Oreochromis niloticus: one gene and its partners. The protein of the gene in region 1 interacts with the protein of each later gene in a pairwise test. Links are inferred from orthologs where the notes say so. Each region holds a gene or a part of one and is shown in the gene's direction. Other genes may lie near its edges. The genes, in order: agtrap, rmdn2, hscb and mief1.

Region 1 (7,125 bases):
ACCAACGGCTGTGATGTTGAGTTTTGCCCTCAAGCAGCTGAAGTCCAGTATCCAGAAAGCTTTAGAAACCACAGCAAGTAATGCCCTCGGTTCTGAAACACTTAGAGCGTGTTGTTAAATGGAGAGGTGATGCAACGCGCAGTGGGAATCATGCTTAAGTGTTTCTGGCATCAAAGTCAAATTAAGCATATGTTTGGCTTCGTTTTTGTTTGTTTTTTGTTTTTTTTAAATCCCCCTTCTCCTATTTATATTTTAAACTTTCTTGGAAACAGGGTTGCTCAGAATATGTAATTAATCCCCTTCCACCACTGGGCCAGAAGTTAGTTAACTAGTCCCTTTCTTTCATTATCTTATATCAGAGTTTTAAGGAAAAAAGATAAAATCTTTATGAAGATGAAGACTAAATGGCTCTCTTTGATCGATACACTTTGTAATGTAAGCCTGTTTCAAAGAGAGCATTTTCCTTAATATGGAGATTTTTGAGGGACGAAAGAAGCACCATCTATCTTCATGTAATAAGATAATCTGCCAGCTACACTTAAGTCTCAGAATGCTTTAACACAAAGCTTACGACACATTAGAGCAAGTGCAAGAAATTACATTCAGTTCAAATTACACAAAGCCTCTGCAAATCTATCCATATCAATATTTCATTAGATGAAGAAAGTAACACAGATTTTTCTTTCCTAAGCACCATCTCAGTTGAACTACGATCGTGCTATCCTGATTTACAGGCACAAAATAAAAGCAACAGTCATGTATTTTTTATATTTACCTATGTCAGAGTGCTCTGGTAGAGTGCCCTGTTGAAACCTCGCCAACAGCCAGAGAAAAGATAGATTACACACAGCCACATCCCAGTAGGGCTGCAGCTACAACAAATGCATGTTTACCTTTCTTGAATTAATTAACCCCCACAGTGTCTATTTTAAGGGAACTTTTCCAAATCAGGTTACTTCTTAGAGCACATAGATGAGCAAGAAATGAAAAGAAGTCACATGGGGCTAGTCCGAAATCTGCCTCCACTTGTCAAAACATCAAAGAAATTATTTGTGCTCAGTTCAAATATTAGTTTTTTTGTGAGTGCTGAATCTGTCTGGACAAAGTTGTGATGTTAAACTACAAAGTGTAACATTTGTGTGTTTATCCCACTGCAGTCTCATTTTCACACACATGTATACACGAGCACATTCAGGACAGCACGTTAAGGCTGCTACATTTAATTATGGAGGCTTTTAAAGAATTAATCTTTCAGTCAAAGAGAAAAATTCATTTGTGTGTTGCCACAGGGGTCAGAGGTCACATGTGGGGTCAGAGGTCACATGTGGGGTCAGGGTTAATGCTGGATAGTGCAGAGACCATATGCCAACACTGGGCCATGAATCTCGCTTCAGTGAAAAGGGCACAGAAGTGCCAAAGACTGAGTCAGACTGCAGAACAGAAATCACAGAGAGTGAATCTCATATTAACATTTTAAAAGTTCGGCAGCTGCTCTCATCCACAGTGACTTACAGCGAGCTCAAAGGTTAAATGTGCTAAAGTCCAGGGACATAATGTCACACAGGCATCGGTGAGGAAGGCAAATGGCAGTCACGTAAGGAACGAGTGATACATACTTCATGATTCTGGTCATTTAGAATAGTAAGACCCATAGGGCAAGGAGCTCTCACCCTTTGAAATAATATAATAATCAGACAAGCACAGTTTTGAATGATTTCTACAGCTTTCAGCAGCACCTCCATCCACTGATTCTCTTCCGTCATGGCGGGTGGAGCCTATCACAGCTGGCAGAGGGCAAGAGGCAGGGTAAACCCTTGACAGGTTGCCAGCCTGTCACAGCATCTGCACCTCCTGGCTTTCATCCACTGGAGCTGTACGTTTGGCAGTGTGATGACAGACGAGACTGCTTATACATATTTTATATGCTGTAAGTGTTTCTGTGGTGATATATGATTATGGCTATTACATATGTTTTTGTTAAAAACTATACTTATGGACTGAAAGACAAGAAAAACGTTTTCCACACCAGCTGTGTAAGGTAATATAGGAATGCACCTGCAAGATCTTTTGACCGGACTGTGATTTAATTGGACTTCACCAAACGTCTTCAGGAATCTGGGATCCATAAATCCATACCAAATTTCCATGTGTTCTCCCTCCAGTTGTTGAACTAAATAAAGTTTTAGCCTACTTTGAAATCTGATTTAGCAATAAGAAAATCCTTGTGAATTGAGTCCACATGTTGTATTCATTAAGACTCAATTATCATCAGAAAAGTGTTTACTAAGAACTCAGTGACGTAGCTATAGGTTGTTTTTTTTGGGGGGGGGGATATATTGTACCAGTATCTATTTAAACAACAGGCATCACCATCTGCTGCAAGTAGCAACTAATGCTCAAAGTACTCCTTCAGTCACAACTTCCTTTAAAAGTCATTTTCACACTACTGTCTGTTAGTGCTCCTTTGATGTTATCAAACACAAAAGTTTTATGACAGTCTAATGGTCTTGTGGATACTGGATGATTTAATAATGCATGAAAACGTCTGCAAGAGTGTATGCTGATATGTTGATGTGCTGCCTGACAGTGTTTCATTAGAAGTAGCAAACAATAATAAACACATCTATCAGCATATACGTGACTACCAAACTCCTTTTTTTAATAAGCAGTGTCATTGTGGTATTCTGTTTCATGAGCTGTAAACACACAGGCTTCCTCAAAATGTGCATCGATTACGTCACAGCTGGTCCAACCTACAATAAAGCTTAATGCTGCTTGACATTAGCGTTGTTGATGTTCTGTTGAAACTGCTTTGAATACAAGTGACTGAAATAAACTTATTGAGTTCCTCTTTGGAGAGGCTGCTGGTTCACTCTCTCTGGCTGTTTCTGATATTAAGGCCCATCCATTTCATGCTGTTTAGTCGTGCTGAGTAAACTTAATAGTGTGTCACATCTGACAATGGCTCTCTGTCTTTAGCAACCGCTGATAGCTAAACCATTTTTAACTTGTTAGCTGTCCTCCATTGACCTTTGTTCTCCAAGCATTTCTTTTATATTTTTCCTTTTTCTATCCTTACCTGGGTAAAGACATGATTCGGGATGTGGATTAGCAGTTACTAAAATACAATAAATTAGCTGTGCTGTGAATGCATCTGCAAGAGTGGGTGGACTAAGCCACTTTGCCTCATTTGTAAGGGATGAAAGAGGCATCAGAGAGCTTCACTATTTGGAGCCCAGGGTGCTTGGGTAGTCAACCTCTATCACCACACTTTATATTTAGTTGACAGAATAATAATAACTCTTAAATAAAATTTTACTCGTTTAATTTTTTTAATATTAATCTTGTATTTTTTTCTGTCAGCAGTGAAAACTTCACAGATTTTTTTTAAATATTAATATACTTTTAGATAGGCCACTTAGGAAAACTGAACAGGGGTGTGATGCGAATCTGAGTACAGTTATATCCTCCCGAGAATGTGTAATAGAATAGTTTTTGGTCCATATCTTTTGACTTATTTGAGCTACTCTACTAAGATGTAATAAAGAAAATTCTGGACTTTCAATTGAAATCTCGTGTGTTTGGGTGGCCTCTTTTTACGGAGCCCCGCAGGGGACATGGGAGAAAAAGAAATTACGATGAACTTTTGCGAGATCTCCCGAGTTTGTTTTGCGAGATCTCGCAAAAGTCCGTCTTAATTTTTTTTTCTCCCATGTCCCCTGCGGGGCTCCGTACTCTTTTAGCCCCAAAGAGGCAGGAACTCACAAAGAAAAGTTCTTTTTTCAAGGTTCTCTGGAATATGTGGAAGTCTGCTGTATTGAAACTACAAAGTCCAGAAAACGGACTACAGAATGCCCATCTTACCTCACCCTAATAGGTTTTACCATGCTGTTTACCATGCGGGGAATATAAACTAAAAACACGAGTGAAATGTCATTTCAATATATAGAGAGAATATATACAGTTATTATTAAATTATTAAATTCAAGTTCTGCTTAAGGAAGTGATCCAAGAAGCACGGAAGCGGCTGACTGCCGCACACATATTTCCGGGTCTCTTCAGTTAGTTAGTAACCTTCCTAAGCAAATTTGCCAATTGGACCGCACCCCAGGGGCTGGGGGAAGGGGTGAGAGGGTGAGAGGGGCAGGAGTCACATGGGAACGAGTCAGGTTGCTGTCACATGGCTTGTGTTTGCAAGGCTGAGCCGACGGGAGGAGGGGTTTGGACAGAAGTTTGTGTAAGAAGAGAAACTGCGGTACTTTTTCATGTAGCTCTTTAACAAGTTGAAACGCCGAATCGGATCAAGGAGGAGCTGCTTTGTCCAAACAGACAATTATGGAAATCCCTGCCATAAATCTAAAGGTGAGGTTTACTTGCTGCGTTTCTGATTGCCTCGGCTTGTACGCTCAAACAAACGCTGGTTTTCAATGAAATGTCAGCTCTGTTCCTCAGTGGTAATTCCTCTGTGTGGCAACTACCTTCCTCTGCTTGTGACTCAGATCACAGTAAACTGCTGCTCTACTTTTTGCTATTAAGTAAGAAGTGTTTAAGGTAATGTTCAGGGGATAAGGTCCCTGAAGGACATTTTTGAGTGAGTGGCAGCAGGCCTTTTGACAGAGGTCAATATTTAAACATATAAACATTTATTTTCACTAACGCTGTATTTTGGCAAACACTTTAAAAACTCATATGCAGTGAATTTGGAGGGAATATTAAATTATAAACTGATGCCTTTGATTAACTGTGAAACTGAACAGGGACAAAAGTGTCATTGTGCTCTGTCCACAGAATAAAATGGTTCAAATGTAATTTTGGACAGCTCTTTCAAGGATTATAAAACCTGTGATGTCAAAAGTAGGCTTGAAGGACACTAACACTAACTAATATCCTGTTTTGTGTAATATCGTGTATTTTTTTATATTCGTGCAGTGTATTCAAAACGGCAGAAAAGATTCAGTCATTCATTCATTTTTTCCAAATCAATTAATTTTACTTTGTTTCACAGAATTGAAGAAAATCATATGTATAAAAAAAATGCAGTTTGGCAGGGCTGAAAACAATGACTTCAGTCTTCTTAGAGGGCTAAATAAAAAGAAGAAATCATTGCTATAGATTAGCTGATGATCTGAAGCTTTTAACTGGTGTGTGAGTGATAGATAGTTCAGTGTAAACACATTTTTGTCCTTCTCTATTCCAGGCCATCGTACTGGTGCACTGGCTTCTTACAGTCTGGTGAGTATGAGCACAGGCTTTTTTTCCACAAACCTGAGGAATTTCTCTCCTCTTTTGGCACACAGACACATGCTTATACTCCTGATTCAGGTCAACTCTTTCACCTACATGTCTCGTCCTCTGTGAAACTGCACGTAACTCTCCTGGAGTGTGTAAGAATCTGTCTCGTATGAATTGTGTGTTTCCTTCAGGGGGAGTATGGTGTGGCCGCCAGTGGCCTTCACATTGGCGAACCTTAGTGTTTTAGCAGTTGGAGTGTGGGCGATTGCACAGAGGGACTCAGTAGATGCAGTGATCATGGTGAGTCTGCCTTCACTTTTTCATGCGATCTTATGGCATCATGTGACACATAAAGTAGTCCAACTTTAGGCGCAGTGCTGCATATCTGTGCTAACCTATTTGTCTGTGGAATCTAGGGCATTCTGTGAGCATCCCTTTAAAAAATAGCCTTCCCTTAATTCAGCACACAGTACAGTAGCTGAGGACCTCAGACGGTTTACATTTGCTTAAGGAGCCATTTTATTTTAAATGTTTGACCCAAGTTTCAGAATTGCTTATACACTAACCAGTTTTATGTTAACCCTCATCATACCGTAACTCTGAACCCGTGACTGATGTTTCCATTGTACATTAGTGACATCAGCTGACTAAGGGGGAAAAAAACAAAAAAAAACGTGTGACTTGAGAATTGTTTTTTGATTGTGTTCTGAAGCAAGAACAGCTTTTATCAGATAGGAAAAGATGGGTGCAGTTGGCTGTTCTCGACTGTTAGAGAAAACTATTTAGTACCTCATCCTGACTGTGGGTCAGCAAAAGAACTGAGCCCTTCTCATAGACTGTAGAAAACGGCCACAATGGGTTGTGGTTTTTAAAGGCTTTAGTTTTGGATTGAGTTTCACTTTCTGGCCTTGGCTGTGTTCATTTTTTTTTTCTATCTTAAGTCAGATCTGACCAAATTAACATGAGCAGGCAGTGAGGAGGCGTTGCCAGCTATTGCTAGCTAGTTTGGTTAGCAAGGTGCATCCATAAAGCGTAATATTAAATGGGATGCTTATTCTGACTTGCAACAAAACAGGCTTAAAATTAACATTTTCTTAACGGAGATAGTCGATAGCATATTGCTCAAGTGTGTTTTTGTATGACTGAACACTAAGCAACACCAGATGTCAGAAAGTTTCCAGCTGCCAGCTTATGCATTTCTGCTGTAACGTTGGACATTTTAGCATGGGAACTGAGTGGCCTGTGAAGCCAACCTCAGGGGCTGCAGCTTTTGGTGCTTCAGCTTCAGCTCTGATTTCATTTTTCAGCCCCAGAACATTTTAGTTGTGTGTTCACTGCATAAATACATTTATGCTGATGCATAATATTTAACTTAAAGTCCACCTTTGAAGGCTTCAGGCTTTGGGTGTTTACAATGAAGGGATGAATCTTGAGCAAAAACTAGCTTTTCAGTTTGTTATTCTTTGACAATTTTGACAGTAATGGTTTTGGTTTGACAGTTTGACAGTACTGGACTCTGTCACTGTACTGAACCTGTGGGAATTATAGACCCTGGGATGTAACCACAGGGGAGCCTTTTACCTTGTGTACATTAAAGTCCAATGTCATATTCACTCATGTCCAAGACCTATCAAGAAGACTGGTGCACAAGTAATTGATAAGGAGGATTCCTTAGCACTGAGTGGTATTTTAACTTAGATCAAACACTCAGCCAATCAACTGCAGGTAATATAGTCCATTGTATAGCTTTTCCAGTATGGTGAAGTCCTGGCAGCATTTTTCTCAGGTGCCTTAAGTAAATTCACTTGTATTAGTTTAAAAACTTTAAAATATGTTTAACTCACATTTAATTCTTTCTTTTATTGGAGAGTTATTTTTATCTTACAATATGGA
Region 2 (7,122 bases), on another chromosome or scaffold:
TCAGTCAGCAGACTAGTGATGAAACTTAGTTTGTTCTATTAAAATAAAGACTTGCTGAGGATGCTGAGGATGAGCAATGTGTCCTCATTGCATTGCATCAAATATCCAGTCCTGACAGTGCTCCTCATCCACAGCTCGTCCATCTGGTGCATCTCAACACTAATTCTTTAGGCGCCACCTTCTGGCCACATCTTGCCTACATATAAAAAAGAGAAAAAAAAGCACTTTCACTTTCATTTTACTACTGAATTTTAGCTTACTACATACATGCAGAGTAATTTCAATGAGATAAATAATTAACATCATATTTTTCCCCTTTACAGCACAGGATGACCTTTATACATAAATTTAAAATACTGACAGCTGAAATGTTGTTGATAGAGTGCATTAATCTCTCAGAAGATAAGTGTCATGACCTTGTGTGTTTACATAGTAAATGGAGAGGACAGGGAGGTTTGATCAAAGTTCAAGGACAGCTATGTGCTGGTGTTGTATTTGGCTGCGCTGTTAGGCAATCATGTAGTCTTACCAAGTACTCCATGTTTTGAGTAGATAAACATTTTTATTGTTGTGGACAAAAATCTCAAGAGAAATCTGGCCCACAAATTTGCGAGTGATGTGTATCTCCTTCTGGAGGAATGCTCAGTGTCCGATTGCATGACTGATTGTCACTTCAGGGGAGGATACAAGGAAGGAAGAAATCATTAAACTACGCAATCAAAAGTCACAGAGAGGTCTCTCGATGCAATCGGCCTGTCTTAGGTTTTCCTAGAATTCATAACTTGTTAACCCCAAAATCCCTCTTAAAGCTGCAGTTGGTTGAATTTTAAAACAATCAGATTAGAGGCCATTGGACCAAATAAATGGCCAGGATGGAAATCCGTGCAACGCAAGCTAATTCACTTCATAACCAATATGAAACACTGCAAAACGTACATGAATTAGAAAATTAGTGTAGTTAATAAAACAACTGTAACACGTTTACCTTTTGGTCTCATATTGATGATTTATATAGTCTTTAAGCAACAATCTGACACATTATGGAGTGGTGAGTGCTATCGAAAGTGACTTCGCTTAATATAAGACATGCACAGCACAGACAAGTCAGGTAAGTAAAGACAGTGCCCTAACCTCTTAACGCCTAGTGTGTCATATTTGATACATACAGGTTTGTTTCAGTTGTTTAGATGTCTACATCAGTAGTGTGATTTTTTTCCCCCCTGAAAAAGCTGAATAAAGTGCATTTTAAGCAATTAAAACACAAGCCGCCAGATGTAGCAAATAAATTACAAATTAAAAGTCATGTATGTAAATTAAAAATTTAAACAATTTTGTCAGATGGCTCAATAAATTTTTAATTTTCAAAAAAACTAGAATTTTCTGGCAATTATTTCATATTTCAAGCTTTAACAGGCTAATCCTCTAACAGGGTCACCATTAACAAACTTGACCTGGGTGGATCTCACTTCTGAACCTGGAAGAGGATGCAAATATATTCTGGCTTCAGTAGAATATGTTTACAGTTTTGGGTTTGGTAATTACAATCGTTTTTGTTTCAGAACATAGAGTGTATTTATTTCTGTTTGCCACATCATGGTGCAGTGACCGTCAGAGAAGGGAACAGGATTTTGATTAGACGAGGAAGATGATGATGTTTCCTGTTGAACCTACGTTTCTACCAAGAAATATTTTTAGGGAAGAAAATAACAGGAAACAGCTGAAATACTCATTTTGTCTGAAGATAATTGAATATACAATGAATTAACATTTTTAAAACTGTGTTTCTGTTGACTCTTGAGACTAAACACTGCTGCAGTCCTTTAATCTCCTCCAAGACTTTTAGTTAAAAAGAGCAGGTCATTTATCACTAACACAAAAAATTACTTCTAGTTACTTATTTTTGCTATCTTTTTGTTATTATTATCATTTTTATTTTCTTTTTACATTTGCTTTATTACAAGGTTTTGTGCTTGTCATGTCTTGTGTGGCAGTTTTACATATTTTATCAGCTTATGAGGGATCCAATCAAACAATAAAAGAAAAAAACAGACTGGGGATTTTATGTTAATGTGCATACCACATCGACATAAAACTGCTGGGGTTATGGTTAACCTGCCATACAGAAAAAAAGAGAGCATAAAAAAAATTAATGCAAGAAGAGATGATTAATTTGAAAATGATGAGGAGACAGAAGTTCAAGGCCACTTAATGTTCACTTAATCTCTATTACAGTCTATACTTTGACTGCATTCAGTTAGAAAAATAGTTATTACTTGCGCATACTTTTACAGCTCAAGCCAAAATGATGTAGGAAACGGACACTGATTCATTTGGCAATGGGAAAAGGGAAGACAGCTCGCCATGCAAACATGCAGGAATGCTATTCATGCTGCTGATTAATGCCGCAGTTGGAAGCCACTATTGCAGACTGAATACTTTTAAACTGGGATCACTTCTTGGAAAAATATTCATAAGCATTAGGTCATAGTATGTTTCATCCACAGATGAAGCCTGAAAAACTAATTTGGGTTAACCCAGTTAACCTGCCGGACACCGTAGCATAAGCCCCCGCACAAGCAGGACCGTGACTTACAGACTTGTCTCTCAGCAGGATGAATTTCAGTTTAACTGCGATGCAACTACAGATCACTTAGAGGCAAACAGAGTTATCTCATCAGAGAAGATTTTTCAGTAAAAACTGCTGTGAGGGGACCTCTCATAGGTTTGTGTTGATTTTTGTTGGTCTTCTAACCTTGGGGGATGCACACATTAATTCAGTACAGCTGAGACTCTTGGCAGACCTGAGGATAAGAACACTGAGTGCTTGCAGCTGAGATAGTCATCAGGTAGTGCGAGTGCAGACCTATGAGTTAGACTTCCCCAGCTCCTCACGAACGCGATGTTGTGCATTCTGTTACACAACAGTAGCCACATCTTCATGGCTGAATGAGTCTTTAAACTATCTGTTAACACGGCACGCAACTGATACAGAAGTTTTTCCTCCCACTGAGGTAGGCATGTCATGCACATGAACACTCCTACTACAAGACCGACAGGGAACAATGAGGCTTCACACTCTGGTTTGTGTGTGCAGTTCTGATAGTGATGCCTTATTTCAGCAGGATTCTTCTCCCACATATTGTTTGACAGCTGTAATGGGCTTCTGTCTGTGCACAAAAGCAATTCTGGGGCTGTGCGATATGAACGTTTTGGCAGATGCGTGCTGAGTGGATAAAACAAAATTGTTGACAATATCTGCTCATCTCCAAGCTTTGACCCGACGGGAGCAAGGCCATAGCTGGGTGCGCCTCTCTTATCGCCATATCTTCATCTGTGGGGCCAACCCAGAGCTGCAGGCCAAGCTTTGTTTTTTTTTCTTCTCCTTTTTGCACCACCATGCCTCTGGGTTTCAGGTGGGCTTTTTGTTCCCTGTGGTAACTGAATGCAGGCTGTGGGCTAAGGAACAATACAGCGTTCAGAGAGCAAGGAAGAAACTGCACGTAGCGATTCCCACGGCATATTATGCAAGGGAACTCCTCATTACCCCTGTTTTCGAGAAAGTGTGCTTACCTCCCTCTCTATAGGGTAAAGGAAACATCCATTTAGAGATCTCATGTTCATCTTCCAAATCAAATAAACACAGTCATCTTAGAAAGAAGTCATTTATGTAACTCAGCCACTCGTAAGGTCATCAAGGACATTGTGGTTGTTGGTTGTTTTTTTTCCCTCCCCTGAATGAAATGTTTTTCAAACCATTAATCATGAACTTGTCTTTATGTGCAGATTTAAAAAAGCATGAAGGAAGAAGAAGATCATCTAACAGTAATGTAAATAAACAGAAAAGGATGATTAAAAAAAATAGAAAACTCAATGATTTTTGGCCTTTGCCATTTTTAAAGTCACCTTTTTGGGGATTTATATTGGACATGATATATGTTGATAACTAGATAACTAGGGAAACTCTATCAGATAAAGCTTGATATGCTTGAAGATCATTTTTTTAATGCTTTAGTGCTTCTCTGTTTAATCAGACCCTGTAAGGACAGTTCCATGATTGCAGAGTGCAGGTCCAAGGTTTATGCAGTGATAATACATGTGCTTAGCAGCTTTTTAAATCCTGGAGGACATTCTGCTCAGGCTCACTGCAGAGAGACACTTGTGTGAGTGAAGCATACACAGCGGTGAGTCATTGTTTGCGCTTATTATTTCAGAATAATTGCTACTAGTTTTACATAAAAGGATTTTTAAAAACTAGTTAGATGACAAAGTTTGCTTTGCACTTTCGTTAGAGACATAAGAAGAAAGATATGTACGGTAAAACATGGATATGAGACTGGAAACAGTCGACCTGAGATGCAAATTGTAAAGAACATAACATTTTGAAGCAGTTATTATCTGTGTTTTCTAAATGCAGTTCTGGTACATTTGCTATTGTAGTGGACCTTGATCACTTGGTGCCTGATTATTAACTCGCATGTTGACGCCAAGTTGAGAAAAAATTTAAGCAAGGAATGTTTAAAAACTGAAAAATAAATTGACAGATGCAACAAGTAAAATTAAAAAAAGGTGATTGCAGTGCAAACATTGGAGTGCAACAAGAAGAAAAAAAATCTGAATGGCATATAAGGATGTTGTTTGTGCGTTATCCATTTCATATCAAAGCTCACTTTATCAACATGAAGGACATGTTTCACAGAGATAGTTGGAAGATAGGAAAAGCCATGTTCTTTGATTTGTTTTGTTCTGTTAGAGTGCAGGCCTGTACTGCCACATAGGGCATATGTGAGCACATATTCAGCTGAATATACAGCAATGTGCAAAAATCTTTAGTCAACCCTATTTTCTTTATACTTTATTGGGAAATTGTATGTAAGTCAGCACAGCCTGTTATGCAATCTTTCTGTTCATTTGTTATTCTTCAGAAATAGTTTTCCAGGATTCTTGAAAGATGTCAAAGCTCTTCTTTACGTGTTTGCTGCCTTTTGTTCTGTACTCAGCCAATCCATGGTTGATAGTGTTCCATTATGTGAAAACTTTGAAAGCCCTTTAGAAAATCTGGAGAGCCTTCAAAACAATATAGTCTGTCTCTTGGGAAGAAAAATAAAAAATAAGACAGGGCTAGATCAATGCTTTTGCACACTAGACAGTAAGCAGTATTAGAACTGTTAAAATTTGAGCTGGAGCCTGAGAAGTCTCTTCCATCAAAGTCACAGTGTGCTCTATGCATGTAAGCACAGTGTAGCACAGATAAGCATATTTGACAGCCAACAGGGTTTTAGCTGCATCAGTGGAGTAACTGAAATAGTCCACCCATATTCTGCCTGGTGAAATAGAAGCAGTGGCTCCTACACCCTTGCTTCTCCCAAATGAACATACTCAAAAGAAATCAGTAACTAACAAAATAAAGTTTCCTGTGCACTGAGGGTAGAGGGTAGAGAGGATTGTTTTTATGAATGGCTTAAATACAGACAGGCAAGCAGATCTAATGTAAATTTGGAGTTTTCTTTCTACTAGACATGTCATTAGTGGGCCTGTGATGGATTAGTGACCTGTGCAGGGTGTATCTTGCTTATCACCCTATGACAGCTAGGCCATGAGAGCCTTCTGTCCCCTCAGAATAAGAGGTTAAGAAAATGGATGGATCAATAAATAAATAAATGAATTAATAATTTAAGAAATGTCTCATTGAAATTTAAAATGGGATTTTCAAGAGAAATCTTGTGGCAGCAGAAATATCTTAACAACTATACATTAAATATCTGAAGTGGCCAAAAAGGACTGGATACATTATAATATAGAACACAGATAAGGCAGAATAGCGCAGAGTGACAAAGATCATTGCAAAACGGGCTTTCTTTATTATTATTTTTTATTTTATATATATATATATATATATATATATATATGTAACCCATTCGTAAACCCGTCGACAGCATTCCATTTACCAGTATAACCAAATATATTAGACATAAGTACACAGAACCATCAGCAATCACTTTTTTTGGGCACATAACCGGAACTCTTCCTTTCGGCGCCTGAGCCAGCACGGAATGTTTTTGCTGTCGCACCAGACAGCTGTCAAGCCGACAAGTGCCTCCTTCCTTACCTTACAGTAAGGTGTATATTAATGTCACCTTTCATTACTTTTACATACATTTTGTTTATGTAAGACCTCGAGATGATTCTCTGTTACTGAAAGCGATCAGTTTATGTTTTTGTATCTGTGTGACGTTAGCGTGTTGCTCTGTTTTTAACGTTGGAACATCGTTTGGTAACTGGCGACTAGCAGCATAACTTCATTAAATTGTAAGCTAATTAACACTGATAGCTTCTTAGTGAAGCTGTGGTATCTCATAGGGTACTGCTAAGGAAAACCGTGATAGCTTTTACATTTCTCAATGTGCTCAGGCTGTAGTAGCTGCTGTTTGACTGCTGGCTGACACGCTCCCTTGAAGATTATGTGTTGATCCAATTATCTGAGGCTAGCCACTACTAGCATATGTCTTTGTAAACACTTGCTGACTAATGTCAGAAATTTTCAGTGCTGGCACAGTCTCGTTTTATGTGTTTTATATCGAGTGTTTCGTTAATCAAAAAGAATTCAAAAGCTGAAGCTGGTCGGAGGTGAAATGTGAATTTAAATGCCATGATCATTTGTCTTAAAGAAGCAAAGTCTAGCCTATTATCCAAACAGGAGAGTGTTGTTTCCCGTATGGCTAAACTCTCGCTGTTGTGTCCTTGCTTCACTTTAAGTACACCCTGTGCAGGCAAATCTTTCTGCAAGAAGTAAGTACATATTGAAATCAGTGTTGACAATGCTCCTTTCAGACACTGATCATTCATGCAAGTCATGGGACACATGTGAGTGAAAGGGCTTTTTTTTTCTCTGTTAGCATGGTGGAAAAAAATAATATCATGGAAAATTTTCAATATTTTCCATCATTTTTATTTAAGGATGTGGAAATCAAATATATTTTAAACCCATTACATTGAAGCTATAGTATTTCAAGCACTTTAAAAGCTCAAAAAATGTAGCAAATTTATCACAACATATTAAACTCATTTTGAGTTTGAGGATATGCCTGTTCAAACAGTATAAATACATCTCTGAGTTTAGTTCAG
Region 3 (7,691 bases), on another chromosome or scaffold:
TGATAGTGCCCTTGTTGTCCACGGAGAATCGAAGCATTTTAGCAAGATAGATACAAAGTGTTCTAGTTTGGAGCTAGTCCGTGGAAACTTAAACCAAAAGTTGCTGCAAGCTAGAAAAATAAGGGTGTGGAGTAATACTAGGTAGGGGAAATACTTGGCAAACCAGTGCAATGTATTTTCATAGCAGACAGCATCAACATAATTGTACTGGTGGCGGTCCAAATCATACTGGATCCCTTTGGGCACTGATGATGTGATGCTTGAATTGAAGTTCTTCTTGCAGGTTTCATTGACCACCCATTTGCAGGGCAAGCAGATCATCTTGTCCTGGGTGACCTGCAGTGTTCCCCCAAAAACAGAAATCATGAGCATGACAATAGAGATATAGTCGGTGAAGACATCCCACCAAGGTTTCAGGATGCGGTATGCTGGCTGTGTGTCCACAAAGTACCGCAGCTCGGTGATGGGGATCATGGTTTATCTGTGGGAACGTAGAGAATGTAGACAGTGATGTATTGAATTAAAGACCCCTGTCAAACATCAGAACAATACAGAAATGTCTGTTTACAAATTAAACACTCCTTCCCTGTAGTGCTTAAGCAACCTTTGCCTAAACGACGACAAAAAACCTAGCAGAAAAATCAATACTATAATTCTAACTAACAAGGGCACACATCAGAACGCTGACCATGGTTAATTTGAAGGCTGTCAGGAGTAATGAATAGCGATTGTGACAAAGACTTTGGTGTTTAACTTTACTTGGTGGACTACCATGTTATTGATTTACCTATTGTTAAGCAGGCTCAATTAATCTTGCTTTCAAAGGACTGTCATACCAGACAAGTCATTTCAAATGTTAGGGCCAAATGGCAATCAATAAAATATAAATTAAATTTATCTGCATCTTAAGTTACTCCTACAAGATTAAGGTGAAGTATTAATGGGCTGCCTATGTTAAGAAAAAAAAATACAGGCAAAGAAACAGCTGCCTTCAATATGTATGCAAGGTGTAAACGTGATAAATGACTAAGTTAGGCAGGCAGTAATTTCACACTTGTTAATCGTGAGAGGTTGTATTATTACTGTTCGTCAGCAGTAATAATACATAAATTCCACTTCTCTATTCTGATGCCAATTATAACACAAAATCTGAGTACCAAAACTAAAACAGGCACAACAGCAGCCACCTCAAGGCAATTTACATTGTAAGATAAAGACCCTACAATAATACAGTGATCAGACAACATGAGATTCATCCATCTGTTTAACATGGGGTTTTCGGCCTCTACAAGTAATGTAGCCAATTAATGAAGCAGGGTTTTCAATGCATATTAAAAGATTTTGGCACTCAAGTTCAGAAACATTTTAATTTAATTGTATGTGGAATGTAATTTACGAAGCATGAGTAAGTCACAAAATGACTTATTTTAGGGGAAAACAGTATTGCTAAAGGAAAACACACTGAATACAAGTTGCCCACTCACTCATGCTTTTTACATTAGATAAAAAGTGCTGTATGGATGTGCATGTGCTTGAGTGAATGAGACTTGTTGAAAGAAAGCATTCTGAGTGTTCAAATTGAGTAGAAAAGCACCATATAAGTTCCAGTTCATTTATCATTTAAGTGTGTAACCAACCTCAAAATGTGAATTTTGAACAGTTACCCACAGATTTAAATTGTTCTTATGGTGGGGTGGCCATGAATACGTTCACTGAACAAAGCACATACACATGTTAATGTAATAACCATTGCTAAATAATTAAACAGAAACTCGACTTTCATTACTCATTCGTTTTTACATCACAACTGTGGTGATATAACAGATAGTGGAGTTGCTCATAATCCAGCATGTGAGACAATTTCAAATTGGATGGAAGATACACGCAGACAGCCTTACTAAGCTGCTGTGGATACAGTCACCAAAATTAAAAATGAATTCACTTTGTTACATATTTACTCGCTGAAGAAAGGAATTCCTTACACTGCTCATTATATAACTTTTGCATTATTAACAAGGTGGTATGACATAATGTACACTGTCACATTACCATGAGTTAACAACATAAACCTTATGCTACAGTCCCACAAAATGCCACAAACCCATACTCTAACAAGGGCACACTCAAGATGTTTCTTTTAGTATGTAGGTATTAACACAAAGGTGACAGTAAAGATAATTAAGCCAGCCCAAATAGGATCCAAAGAGAAAAATGCTGTAGCCAAAGCAATGCTACTTTGGAGGCTATAGCGTTATAAGCCCGACTGCTAATTACTCCTTTAACATCGTTAAAGGAGTAACTTGCGAGCATCTGAAAATGCCAAAACAGGTAATCCAACACTTTTTATTAAATCCTTTGAATTATCATTTAACATCGTTCTGATTTCTTTGCTATTAGCTTTGTATTGGTTGTACTAATACTAATACCAATATTTGGTGATTCAAAAAAATCCGATCCAATTCCAATATACTGTCTGATATAATTTTTCCTTCAGAAAGAAGAAACATGAATAGATTAGTCAAACTCCAATAAAAAGTAATATCTCCTCAAAAATTTTAGATCACACAAAGTGAAGTCAGCTGATTAACACAAAATCAATTCATCATCCAAATATAACTGACAAACTTATGAAACACAAGTAATGACATACCAGACATGATTACTCAAACATGTATGTCTGAGTAAATACATACATGTATGTATTCATTTATTTATTCATTTGCAATTTGTACAAAAATGCATTGCAGGAAAATTTTGTCCCAATACTAGGATATATCACCTTCCTTATGATGAATGTTTGAGTAAACAGACACAAAAACATACAGAGACTCTTTCCTTTAGTAGGTAGGTAATGCATTGTCTGGGGGATATTGCTGGACAAGCCAAAACTATTATTTTTAAATTGAAAAAAAAGTCACATAATACATAGCTTATGTAAAATGATAGGTTAACAATGTCCTATTAGGTATGAAAATTTGTTTTACTTACAAATTCCAATTGTAAAGCACAAGTCCTCCATACATAAACAGCCAAGAGCAATCCACAACTAATCTCCCTTACCTCTGCTGTACATCAGAGCCAGATAAAGCCCTCTAAATTGCCACACCCAGCATGAAAGCTCGAGAAGTCACTCTTCTTAAGAAGATGTTCCGTTTTGGCTTGTTTAACCCAAACAACGTGACCGCCAGAGGAGCCACCTTGCTCCCCTGCTCTCTATTCTTAGCGGTTTCCGTTAATAATACCCAGAGTATTGTCTGTGGGGGCCTTGAGAAGTACCTCCCTCGACCTTCAGGAAGAGATCCTGTTTACCTTATAGAAGCTGCTGTCTCCAACAAGTGTCTCTCTGGAATACTCTACAGTCAGCTTTTGCACCCTCCCAAAAACACACACACACACACACACACACACACACACACACACACACACACCAAGAATGAAGACCTGGCATTCATCACAGAGCTTGTACTTTGGTAGGAAACTGTAATGACAAATAGTCGAGACGCCTAGTCTGATTCTTGGCCAAATAAGCATATTTACACTGGCCAGTGTTCAGAGAATTTTTTTTCTTCACACAGCTAGCAGCTGTTGTATTGCGACCGCCTGTATGGATGGACGATGAAGCAGCAACAAGTACTCTTGGACGATGAAGCAGCAACAAGTACTCTTAGTCAATAAAATACTCACAAGTTTGGAGGTGTTATCTGTGCTCCAGTGCCTGATGATGTCCTTGGCGGACTAGCCACTCACTGAGTATCCAGAACTCTTCATGAAGCATTGCCTCTTTTGTCAGAATGCAGTTGAATCTGAAAGAAAAAAACAAAACAACCCAATTGGTATGAAAATGCAGTTTTCTAGACTTTCTGAAAAAGGCAATTAAAGTTACGCAAGCGTGCATTAAGTGATGTTTTAAGCTGATGCTTCTTAAATGGGTGATTATTTAAAATAATAATAAAAATAAGCTAGTTTGAATTTGTTTTTGTCACCGCTCAACCATAACATGGGATGCCTTTGTCATCCAGCTAGCTGAGCAAGCTACTCAACATAAAGTTAAACCCGGGTGCTTTTTTTCTTCACATGTGCCCTTAAATAACATGAAACGCTGTTTTTAAGGCCGTGAACTGGAATCTGACAACAACCAGCTTATTTGTCAGTACCGACCACGAATAAAGGCTTTTTGTTGTTAAGACATGTTCGCAAACTAAGCTATACTGTTCAGCTAGTGAGCTAAGCTAGCTACATGCAGACCAGGGGTTCTTGTTATCGTTACATCCTCGGCAAAAGCCGCACCTAAAACGACACTAGTACACTACTAACAAACACTGAACATTTTGTGAGGTGTTCAGCTTACTTCAATTGGTGTGCTGCGTCCAAAACTAAGGCTACTTTATCAATAGTTCCTCACAAATTGCGTTTGCTGTTGCCAGCTAGCTGTTGGTTTTCCATCAAGAACTCGAAACCCACCGAGCGGCGGCAGTGTGACAGTGTTACAAAACGTAGAAGAAGAACGCTCTTCTTCGTTTGTTTTTCCGGAAAGAGATGTGTTTTGACAGTGAACATTTTGTGTATTTATTGAGTGCACGACAGCGAGTAGTGCATTTTAATTCCAGAAATGTTGTCTGTCAACTCTTTGAGGATTGTTGGCTCATCCCGGGCTGTACTGCACCCAAGCTGGCTAACCACCAACCGATTGCTTGTTTCTAAAGCTGTTACATGTACAGCTTACAGTATGTCTACCAGCCTCCACAGGAGGGGCACATGGCACAGCAACATGAACTTCAGAGCACTCAGAAAGGAGAGAGAGCTGTTTTACTTCACTAATCAATCCGCTTCACCCAGGAATTGCTGCACAAGTCAAATTAAATTGAACTGCTGGAACTGTAAGCATCTTCTTGACAAAAGACCTGCATTTTTCTGCGTGTCATGCAAAGCAGTGCAGCCCCCTGTAGAAGGGACATCCTACTTCAAGATCATGGATTGGTGAGTTTCTTGTTTACCTTAACATATGTCACCATCTTAAAAAGCTTTCCAAATGAATCCAGTCTATTCATTTTATCATGTGTTACCTTTTTCAGTGACTACACATTCACACTGGACACACAAAAGCTGCAGAAAACATACTTGCAGCTCCAGCGGTCTCTTCATCCAGACAACTTCAGCCAGAAATCTATGGTAGGGAGGGGGAATGTAAGGGGAATAGAGATCTGCTGAGTGAGATGGTCTATGAGTCAGAGAACACTTTCCTTTCTATTAGTTGCCCTGTGACACAGGAAATTGGGTCTGACCCCTTGTCCCCATTTGTCCACTTGTGTGTGCATTTTTGTTTTGTCATGATAATTCATTGTGACTTGGCCATGGGAGTAACTCTGGGCAAAGTAAGAAAGATGGGCTTGTTAAAAGACACTGACAAATGTAGGGCCTGGTTAGGGAACTTGGTTTGTGTTAAGCTACCAAGCAAGCTCAAGGCATAGGAAGCAAGTTTAAGGAATTGAAACTAAATAGCAGTGTAGATGAACAAGCATTTGCTTCTCAGGGAAAAATACAAAAGGGGTATAAAAAGGGGGCCGGGGGGGGGTAGTGTATAAATGGACAGTCTAGTAATATAAACAGCTTTACATGTTGAATTGCATCAGTGTATGTGAAGAGATTCATGGCTGCTTATTTCAGCTATGAAAACCAGGAGGCAACTCCAGTAAGCCAACATGAGTTTATGTTATTTATGTTGATAATTACACTTGTGCCTTTCCTGCTGTGAAATGTAAAAGTGCCTACTAGGACCTGCTTTCCAAAACATTTTACATTATAACTGCAAAATCTAAAATAATAAAAACAGAGGTATATTAAATATATTAAATATTTATACAGGTTAAGAAAGCAAAAGTTAACTTTGGTTTAGAAGTTTTCATTCAATTACTCATCTTGCCTTATGCATGGACACTTTCTAACTCCCACCAGGATAAAAGGTTTGATCACAAGCTGCTAAATTGTGACTTAGGAGTTTATTTGGATAGATTAGGAAAAGTAAGTAGCTGAGATTGTTCCCCTGAAAATAATAAAGTGAAAAAAGGGGGTAAGATCTTGTGACTATTAAGATGTTTTATATGCTGAGTATTTTCTTAATTAGTCAAATAAATTTGGACGGTTTGGCTTAATAAGATCACTGAAACAATTATTTAATTGTGAAAACAGTCCTGATTGTGTTTGTGTATATTGACCCATTATATGGGGCGATCGTGGCTCAAGAGTTGGGAGTTCGCCTTGTAATCAGAAGGTTGCCGGTTCGACCCCCGGCTTGGACAGTCTCGGTCGTTGTGTCTTTGGGCAAGACACTTCACCCGTTGCCTACTGGTGGTGGTCAGAGGGCCCGGTGGCGCCAGTGTCCGGCAGCCTTGCCTCTGTCAGTGCGCCCCAGGGTGGCTGTGGCTACGATGTAGCTTGCCATCACCAGTGTGTGAATGGGTGGATGACTGGATGTGTAAAGTGCCTTGGGGTCCTTAGGGACTAGTAAAGCGCTATACATTTACCATATAAACTCTAATTACACTAAGGAAGTTCCATCGGTATTCAGTCAATGTCAGTCTTTTTAATTTGGCCTCTGTGCACCACCAAGGTAGATTTTAGATGTTTAAAACTGTTAAAATGACACCTTTCAACTTTCAACTTTGATTCAATGGGTTTAATACAAAGTATTGCATTACCTGCTTTGGCATTTTCAGATGCTCATAAGTAATTGGACAGTTGATTGACAATCACAGTCATGGTGAGGGTGAGGTTGATTCCTTGTGTATTTTATGAAACTTTAAGTAGATATAATATCTGACATTCATTCAAAGTTTTGAACTAATATCTAGTAGATTTTCACTGGAGTTCTTAATATGATGTCAGATTGCTGCAAGTAAATAGGGTCACCATAATACTCAAAAAAGAAAATGAAAAATTAGAAAAGCACTGGCCAGCTGAACAACACCAAAAGCCTTGATGGACCATGGAAGGCAACTATAGTAGATGGTAGATCTCTTTACTTGGTAAGAAAACCGCTTTTGTTATATCTAGCAATATCATTGTCAAAGTCTACAATCAAGAGATGCCCTCATGAATGGGTTTACAACAAGATGCAAAACACTGGTTACACTCAAGAACAAGGAAGTCATAATAGGAAGAGAAATGGCTCGTCATCTGCCAAACATGGTAGACGCAGTGTTACTGGAAGGAACATAATATGCCCCACAAGTGTTTACTGATCAAGCATCTAACAGATAACAGATAAACATAGTGCAAATGCAACCCAAGAACTTCTCAAGGCAAAAGAATGGGAGATTCTTCAATGGCCAAGTGAGTCACCTGATCTCAACATAGAAGAGCATGCTTTTCATTAAATGAAGATAAAATGGAAGGGAGAGACGTACAAACAAGCAGGAAGTGAGTAGTTAAGACTAGCAGAGGGTCTCAATGGGAGAAACAGCATTTGGTGATGTCCATGTTTTTTGGACTTCAGGCAGTCATCAGAAGAGAATTTTTGTCCACGTATTAAAAATAATTCTCATATTTAAAGTTATATCATCAGTTTTCCAATTTTATTTTGTGCCTCTGATTGTTTAATCTAAAATCCACTGCGGTGGTGTACAGTAGCACTGCAGTATTTTTGTTTGGTTTGGTTTTTTCCCCCAGCTACAAATAGGATGATATTGTCTATT
Region 4 (8,006 bases), on another chromosome or scaffold:
ACGGAGTTGAAGAGTTTCTTGAAGAGCTTGAGGAAAAGCAAAAGCTTGTTGGTCCTGAGTATTTCTATACTGATGTACGTCACAGAGAGTTAACTGCAAAACTCAGTAGTGGAAAAAACTCCAAAAACAATCATCCACAGACAGTTGGTGCTGTGGCCTTGGATCGCTGGAATGGATTGGCTGCTGCAACCTCTACAGGCGGGTTGGTAGGAAAGCTGAAAGGGCGAGTTGGGGACACAGCAGTAGTAGGAGCAGGTATATATGCTGATGACAAGTTAGCCATTACCTGCTCTGGAGATGGGGATGTTTTTTTGAGGAACACAGTTGCTCAGAAAATAGCAAGTCTATACCATCATAAAGCCCACAGCCTTAGGGAAGCATGCAGAGAAGTGATAGCTGAAGATCTGAAGGGGATCTGTGCTGGAATCATTGCTGTGGACGCCAAAGGTGATGCCGTCATTGAGACCAATGCTGGTGTGATCTTTGTGGCATCAATGATTTGTGGCATTTCACGAGTAGAGGTCCTCAGACCCCTGATAGATCCTCCTAATGTTATCTGGGAAACAGATGAGCTTGTTGCTTACCTGAATCCCAAACCCTGGATCCCTGGAGCAACAATTCTGACTAGAAAAACTCTTAGTGGGGCAAGCAGCATCTTCCACTTAGCTACAGCTGATTTTGTTGCTATGCTACAAGGAGCACGAGTTGTCTCAAACTTGCTATGTGAGCGACTGGGAGTGCAACGTTGTGCCTTGGTATTCAATCCAACTCCTGGTCAGCCAGCACAAATCAGACTCCTCCCTCTTCATGGCTTAGAGCCAAAATGGCAGCCCCATCTTGCTAGTGAAGAAGAGTTCCACGCTTATAATCCTGGCTATTGCACCTCAAAAAGTGGTCCACGTTGGGATGATGAAGCACTGGCTCGGGTTCAAGATAAGATTAGAAGTGCACTGCCAACACCAAATGTACCTTTTTGCTTTGATTTTTTGGGAGACCTATCCAATGACAACCTGTTCAGTCGCATTGTTCGAGGGGAGCAGCAACAGTGGAGAGTGTGGGAAGACACTGAGTATGTTGCCTTTTTGACACCTTATCCAAACAGTCCTGGTCTAACTGTTGTGGTGCCACGCAAACCTCTGTCCAGTGACATCTTCAAACTGAAGGAACCTGACTACACAGCACTGATCTTGGCCACTTACAAAGTTGCCCGACTGCTGGAAGAGGGGATGAAAGCTCCAAGTGTTGCACTGATCTTTGAGGGATTTGAGATCGACTATGCTCATGCCAAGTTGATCCCTCTGTTACCTTCACCAGATGGCACTAAACCTGCTGAGCTGCAAACAGAATGCTTCCAAAGCTACCCTGGATATGTTTCATCACTGAATGGCCCACCCGCTGACTCTGAAACCCTCAAAACCATCCACTTGAAAATTACCCAGTGCAAGCCTGCTCGTTCCTGGACAGATCCTGAGTCTCACTCCATGGCAGCCATCAAGAGCCAGTGGTATCGAAACCTTTTTAAGATCCAGAACACTCTTTTCCACAGCACAGTGGAATACTTCAACAGTTCCTGCCAGTACTCATATGCTCTGACACCTCTCACCACTGACACCATCTCCTCACCAATGGGCCTGGGTTCTGACTCAGAGCCAGTTTCTGTCAATCTGCTGGGCCAGGGTGTGTACCTTGCTGACTCAATGCAATTTGTACTGGAATACTTCCTTCGCTTCCAGGAAAACCTGCCAGGGACCTACTACATATCTCCCAGCTTCAGAGGGGAAGATCCTGATGCCACACACTTGAACCAGTTCTATCATGTGGAGTGTGAACTGCTGGGTGACATGGACAAAGCAATGTCCATAGCAGAGGGATACTTGGTTCATCTCACCAAGTCCATGTTGAAGAAACACTCAGATATAATCCTGAACACTGCTGGGACCCTTACACATGTCACAGCTCTGCTCAGTAAGCTGGAGGGAAAAACCGGACTTTCAAGAGTACCTCTAGACCAGGCCATCCCCATGATGCCCTCTGCTGACTGTTTAGAGTGGGTCCAAGATGGTCAGCCCAATTTTGGCAGAAAGTTAACACGTAAAGGAGAGCGGGTTTTAATCGAGAAATATGGTGGAGCTGTCTGGCTGACCGAGATGGACCATCTGGGAGTTCCATTCTACCAAGCATATGTGGAGGGCACTGGGCAACGCAAAGCCAAAGCTGCCGACCTTTTGCTGGGGCTGGGTGAGACTGTAGGTCTTGGTGAACGCCATTCAACTCCTGAGATGGTGCAAGAGGCTCTGAGGCATCATGGAGTGTCAGAGCAATCTTATAAATGGTACATTAACATGCGCCAAGTGAAACCACTCCTCACCAGTGGATGGGGTATGGGGACTGAGCGCTACTTGTGTTGGTTGCTCCAGCATGATGATATCAGGGATATACATATCATCCCCAGGATGAAAGGGGTTAAGTACATGCCTTGAGTATGGGTTTTCCACATTTTTCAAGCCATTGAAATTGACTTGAAAAAATGGCTACAATGCATGTGGATTTGTACCATGAAAATGTTTCAGTCAGTCCTAGATTACTAGAATTTTCCTCCTATGTCTTGGACAGAAGAAATCTCTTAGAGCCCTTAGTGCAACCTGGTCATTGATACTCTGCAAAATTTTTACAACTCCAGCAGAAGCTGTAAAAAAAATGTATTTAAATGTAGAGTGGTAAGATCACAGCATTAATGTGTGTGGAAATGCATGAACCGTTAATAGACTATGAATTATGTATACATGTTCTTGTAATGAGACTGATTCTCACTGTTGACAAAATCATTATCTACTGGGTTTAAATTGTAGTAAGTAAATACATTTTAATTGAGTGATAAATTGACCACTTTACATAAATGTTGTAAACAATTTTAAGTGTCACTTCTTTATATTTTTTCCATGATGTCATTTTTTTTGTTTGTTGTTGTTGTTGTTTCTATTGCATTACCTTTGTATGTAAATGTTTTTGCTGAGGTCAAATGGATCGTGACTCACTGATGTTTCAAGTCAATAGTATCGATATTCAAAAGAACTATTGGATCCAAAATAAATCTCAGTGACAGATTTGTATGGATTACTGATGTATCCAGTGGACCCTTTTCATAAGAGATTTACATTCTTTGTGAGACTAAGAGATATATGTTTTCTGGCCATTGGAGTTTATCAGAATCAAAATCAGAATACTTTAATAATCCCTAAGGAAATTATGTTTAAGATAATTTATTGATATATATCAAGTGTTTAAAATGATAACAGCGTCAACTGCCTCAGTGTCATTTGGCCAAGTTGGTTGGATTCACCGGTACTGCAAATAGTCTCACATTGCTGGGAGCTATTTGATTTATTGTTGATTTAATAAATGTTTGTTGATGCAACTAAAAAGATGATCACTTTGATGTTCTTATAAAGTCTTACATACACATACATATTATATTATATATATACTGTTCTCCACAATAGAGAAAAATTACAGAAAGTTCTTTCTTGATTGCATTAAAATTGAGTGTATCAGTTTTCATCTTTTAATATTAATTAAATATTTATTTATTTGTCAATTTTAATCCATCCTTCCAATGAAATGTATTAGAATTATAAGTGACACTTGGACAACAAATGATGCTACATGCATTCACAATTTTAACATGAAACAGCAACCAATCCTCCAGACACAATTCCAGAATCAGCAGTTTAGTGTGAAAGAAAGAAAACTATGAAAGAAAAAGTATATCTTCAGCTTAGATCTTTGAAAAACAGTCACAGCTGATGTTTGTCCAGGGTCTCTTTGGAGGGTCATTCCAGAGTTTTTGTGCAACAATTGCAAATGCATCGGCTCCTTTTGCAATTAGCTTTAACTGCGGGATGCATATCCACCACATTTGCAGGTGCGAGACCATTTAAGACTTGAAACACAAACAGTGCCAATTTATACTCGATTCTGTAATGTACAAAAAGCCTCCCAACATGATGTGAGCTCTCTTTTATTGTCCCAGTCAGTAATGTGACGGTAGCATTTTGGATAAGAAATGATTGAATAGCTCCAGTATACAGTGCATTACAGTACCCGTGTTTAGATACAACAGACATATATATAACCCTTTTCCAAATCAAGTTTAAGAAAAAGTGTTTTGTCTGGAGATTGCTATTACCACAGCAAATTAGTGAAAACACAAAATTGAAAAACATCAACCTTTTGAACTTCAGTTCAGATCTCAGTACTATACAGGTATCAGCCATAACTTTATTTCAATATAGATTCATAGTAACAACCAAATAAATAAATAAATAAATGTTGTGTCTTGACCTTACTCTATAAAGTAGCGGTCCCCAACCTTTTTTGCGCCACGGACCGGTTTATGCCCGACAATATTTTCATGGACCGGCCTTTAAGGTGTTGCGGATAAATACAACAAAAGAAAACTAGTACCGGTACCGAAAAAAAGAAGATTTATTCATAACACATGAAAAGACCCAGGAAAACCGAGTTAACGATAAAAACGATAACAAAATAACGCTGAAAACCGATAAAAACACTGAAAATCATACATTTCACACCTGAGCCTCAACTCTCGCGGCCCTGTACCAAACGACTCACGGACCGGTACCGGTCCGAGGCCCGGGGTTGGGGACCGCTGCTATAAAGCACCTGTTGTTGTGATTTGGTGCTATTTGAATAAAATAAAATTTAATTGAAATTAAGGCACAATTTCTTAAAAATGTAATTTGACATACAATGTCATCAATACAAAATAAAAGCGTAAAAAAAAAAAACACGAAAAACTGACCCGGATATAGTGTGTGAATAGCAGACTATTTGTTTCCGGTTTCCACTATCGACTCTGACCCCCGGTTAGAGCAGAGGTCTGCTTCCCCCAGAAGACAAACGATCTTTGGTCCTTTTTTTCCTGAAAAGTAGGTGCCTTCGATTTGTTTTGTTGTGCGTCTTTGTGTGGCTCGTTTAGCCTCGCTCGCAACGTTTCAACGACCATATTTTGTCCATAAAGCTGGCTGAAAGTAAGGTCAGCGCTTGCTTCGGCAGCTAGTTAGCGTGTTGTGCTACAAAGAGATGTGACTTTCCGTTGATCCAGCCATTTTCTAAAGACTAGTGAGCCTCGGTATGTAACACGGCAACACTTTCTTTTCGCTGATGAAACAGTCCCATAACCTGTGCTAGAAAACGGGCAGACTGCGAGCTTTTGTGTTTACTTGGTCAGGTTTACACGGAGGCTAACGTGGCAGTCTGAGCTGACACTGCAGCTGTGTTTTTTGCAGCGTGTGGCATGTTTGGTTTTACACTTTAAAGGTTGGATTTTTACACGGATGAAGCCATTTCTAACTGTCACGTCAGTCCTCTAATCATCTACCTTGTGCTCACCCTTTGCACAGGAGCAAGGGTATCCCCCTCCTCTCCATGTGTGATCCCTGATGGGCAGCTGGTCTCGCAGTGCCGTGCTGGAGCTCTACAGGGCGCTGCTCCGGGCAGGCCGACACCTTCAGTACACAGACCGGAATTACTACCGCCGCGCCGTGGCTCGCGAGTTTCGCCGCTGCCAGGCACTGACGGTCCCAGAAGATAAGGAGGAGGCCCTGAAAAGGGGCCGGTTCTTTCTCAGCAGCCGACTGGGTGGGCTTATGTAGGAGGAAGGGGATCAGGGGCCATCAGGTGGTGGTTAAAGGTTGTCCGAAGGTCCATCTTCCAGGTGGGTTTACACGTAAAACATCAGGAGTAAACAGACATTCTTTGTAATGGTTTAGTTTGTAGGTAGTGATGTAAACAAGATCACATGGTGATGAGCTATCCACTTATTTCTCGGCTCTTCCCACCCTAGGCAGCCTGACTCCACTTCTCTTTTTATTATTTTTTTCCCAGTGCCAGGATGGCGGGGGTGAACGGAGACCGAAAAGGAAAGAAGGATGATAATGGGATTGGAACAGCTATTGACTTCATGCTTTCGAATGCCAAGCTTGTGCTGGGGGTGGGAGGGGCAGCCATGCTTGGCATTGCAACACTAGCCGTCAAAAGAGTGAGTACTCTCACTGTGGGGTGGGGTGGGGTGGGGGGGAACTAACTGAATACCAATACAATGAATGTTATGTGCAGATGTATGATCGTGCCATAAGTGCTCCCACCAGCCCCACAAAGATGGAGCAAACAGGAAAGAGAAGCTGGGAGGAGCCTGCCTGGATGGGGTCATCCCCGAGGGTTTTAAACCATGACATGAAGTCCACAGTTAGCAGGTCGCTGCAGTCTCTGCCCACTTCTTCACATGCTTTTGAACCAGGTGAGGGGAAACAAATTGTCCTTTAATTTATAACTTATATATGAGGTAGACTAACGGCCAGCTCTCATCTTTTTTTATTTTATTTTTTTTCATCTGCTAACAGACAGCCTGTTTGGAGGATTCTTGCTCTTCCTTTACAGTGGGTGCTGGCTCGTTTAAGTTTAGATACCCAGCTGTTTTATACTGATCTTTAATCATAACGTTATAGAAACTGTAGAAGGCCGTGAAGTTAGTCTTTGTAGATTTAGCTCTGTCATATTCAAATATTTAGAGAACAATACTGTGAAACTCCCATCCTATTACACCCATCGCTTCCCCCTGAAACCGCAGAAGAGGAAAGCTCACAAAATCCTGCTGCACTTATTAAAACAGTTCATCTCTAACTTATTTTCTCCCCAGACTGTCTGCGAAGGGCTGTGGGTCGAGCTGCTGTGGGGAAGAGCGGTGCCACTCGGTCAGATATGATGCGGGCCCGGATGCGTCTGTCTTTGCAAGAACACCTGTGGGAATTCTACCAAAATAATGTCAACATCCCTGCTGAGGAGCAGGCCATGGCCAGGAGGGCAGCGCTAGACATCTGTGCTGAGCTCAGAGTGTTTCTTCATGCCAAACTGCCTGACATGCCGCTCAGAGAGATGTACCTCAGTGGCAGTCTGTACGATGACCTTCAGGTAAGAGCACTTATTATGGGGGATTATTTTTTTCATAATGACACATTCATTTAATTGGAAACCATTCTCCCCTGTTCTGCCTCCAAGGTTGTAACAGCCGACCACGCCCAGCTCATGGTGCCTCTTGTCTTGGAGAAGAATCTGTGGTCGTCCATCCCCGGAGAGGACACGATCATGAATGTCCCAGGTTTCTGGCTTGTCCGTAGGGAGAATTTGGAATATTTCCCTCGGAGTAGCAGCTATTGGGACCGATGCATGGTCGGAGGTTATCTCTCCCCGAAATCAGTGCTTGAGGTCTTTGAGAAGCTTGTTGCAGGTTCTATTAACTGGCCAGCTATAGGGAGTGTCCTCGACTACATCATCCGTCCCGTGGTTCCCGCCGAAACGCTGACTCTGGAGGTACAGTACGAGACGGACAGGAAGCTGTATGTGGACTTCTTGCCTTTGCTCGTGATGGAGGATGGAACCTCACTGATTGCCAAACCGCACCGGTTTGCTGCAGAGCGCCACGAAAACCTGTGGCGACAGAGCTTCCGCGTGGCCGAGACGGCCCGGCTCAGGGCGCTAGATCAGGAGGATGGCGGCTGCCGATGCACCTGCCTCAAAGTGGCGAAGGCTGTGTGCAAGCTCAACCCTGCCCTTCACAGGCTCAACTCCAGCCAGCTCACTAATACCATCCTGTTGCTCAGCGAAAAAGAAGGTGACTGGACCCAGGAAGCGCTGGCCGACCGCTTCCTTCAGCTGCTACGAGCGCTAGTGGGGCACTTGGAGGCTGGGAAGCTGCCGTGTGCCCTTAGCCCTAAAGTGAACTTGTTTTGTGAGCTGACTGATCAAGAAGTGGATGAGCTAGGGTATACCCTCTACTGTGCACTGTCTGATCCCGGGGGGCTGCTGAGAACTGCTGCAGCACAGCCACCACACCCCTGAATGGTAACGCTGAGCTGTGATGAGGTTGAGGGAATAAAAACATGTGCATGGAATAATCCCCTCTTGTGCAACACATGCTCTCTTGATTA

The links.
Region 2: the proteins of agtrap (region 1) and rmdn2 interact in binary tests that used the Homo sapiens proteins (3 or more experiments, as listed by UniProt). The two-hybrid records come from large-scale screens. The link is inferred for Oreochromis niloticus from reciprocal best matches to the Homo sapiens genes AGTRAP and RMDN2.
Region 3: the proteins of agtrap (region 1) and hscb interact in binary tests that used the Homo sapiens proteins (3 or more experiments, as listed by UniProt). The two-hybrid records come from large-scale screens. The link is inferred for Oreochromis niloticus from reciprocal best matches to the Homo sapiens genes AGTRAP and HSCB.
Region 4: the proteins of agtrap (region 1) and mief1 interact in binary tests that used the Homo sapiens proteins (3 or more experiments, as listed by UniProt). The two-hybrid records come from large-scale screens. The link is inferred for Oreochromis niloticus from reciprocal best matches to the Homo sapiens genes AGTRAP and MIEF1.

The regions. Positions count from the first base shown.
Region 1 is NC_031970.2:11,712,514-11,719,638, reverse strand, and holds the start of agtrap (type-1 angiotensin II receptor-associated protein), read left to right. Parts: upstream 1-4,036; 5' UTR 4,037-4,335; coding exon 4,336-4,362; intron 4,363-5,197; coding exon 5,198-5,232; intron 5,233-5,423; coding exon 5,424-5,532; intron 5,533-7,125. UniProt on the Homo sapiens protein: Appears to be a negative regulator of type-1 angiotensin II receptor-mediated signaling by regulating receptor internalization as well as mechanism of receptor desensitization such as phosphorylation.
Region 2 is NC_031978.2:26,001,769-26,008,890, reverse strand, and holds the start of rmdn2 (regulator of microtubule dynamics protein 2), read left to right. Parts: upstream 1-3,893; 5' UTR 3,894-4,181; intron 4,182-5,979; exon of another isoform or gene 5,980-6,117; intron 6,118-6,205; exon of another isoform or gene 6,206-6,306; intron 6,307-7,122.
Region 3 is NC_031977.2:29,298,865-29,306,555, forward strand, and holds the start of hscb (iron-sulfur cluster co-chaperone protein HscB), read left to right. Parts: upstream 1-4,470; 5' UTR 4,471-4,609; coding exon 4,610-4,977; intron 4,978-5,072; coding exon 5,073-5,169; intron 5,170-7,691. Other genes in the region: lrrc8ab (volume-regulated anion channel subunit LRRC8A), read right to left, coding at 1-474.
Region 4 is NC_031969.2:10,814,944-10,822,949, forward strand, and holds the start of mief1 (mitochondrial dynamics protein MID51), read left to right. Parts: upstream 1-4,827; 5' UTR 4,828-4,949; intron 4,950-4,973; exon of another isoform or gene 4,974-5,152; intron 5,153-5,423; 5' UTR 5,424-5,737; intron 5,738-5,907; 5' UTR 5,908-5,914; coding exon 5,915-6,061; intron 6,062-6,138; coding exon 6,139-6,319; intron 6,320-6,718; coding exon 6,719-6,990; intron 6,991-7,077; coding exon 7,078-7,917; 3' UTR 7,918-8,006. Other genes in the region: uncharacterized protein LOC100705581, read left to right, coding at 1-2,480. UniProt on the Homo sapiens protein: Mitochondrial outer membrane protein which regulates mitochondrial fission/fusion dynamics.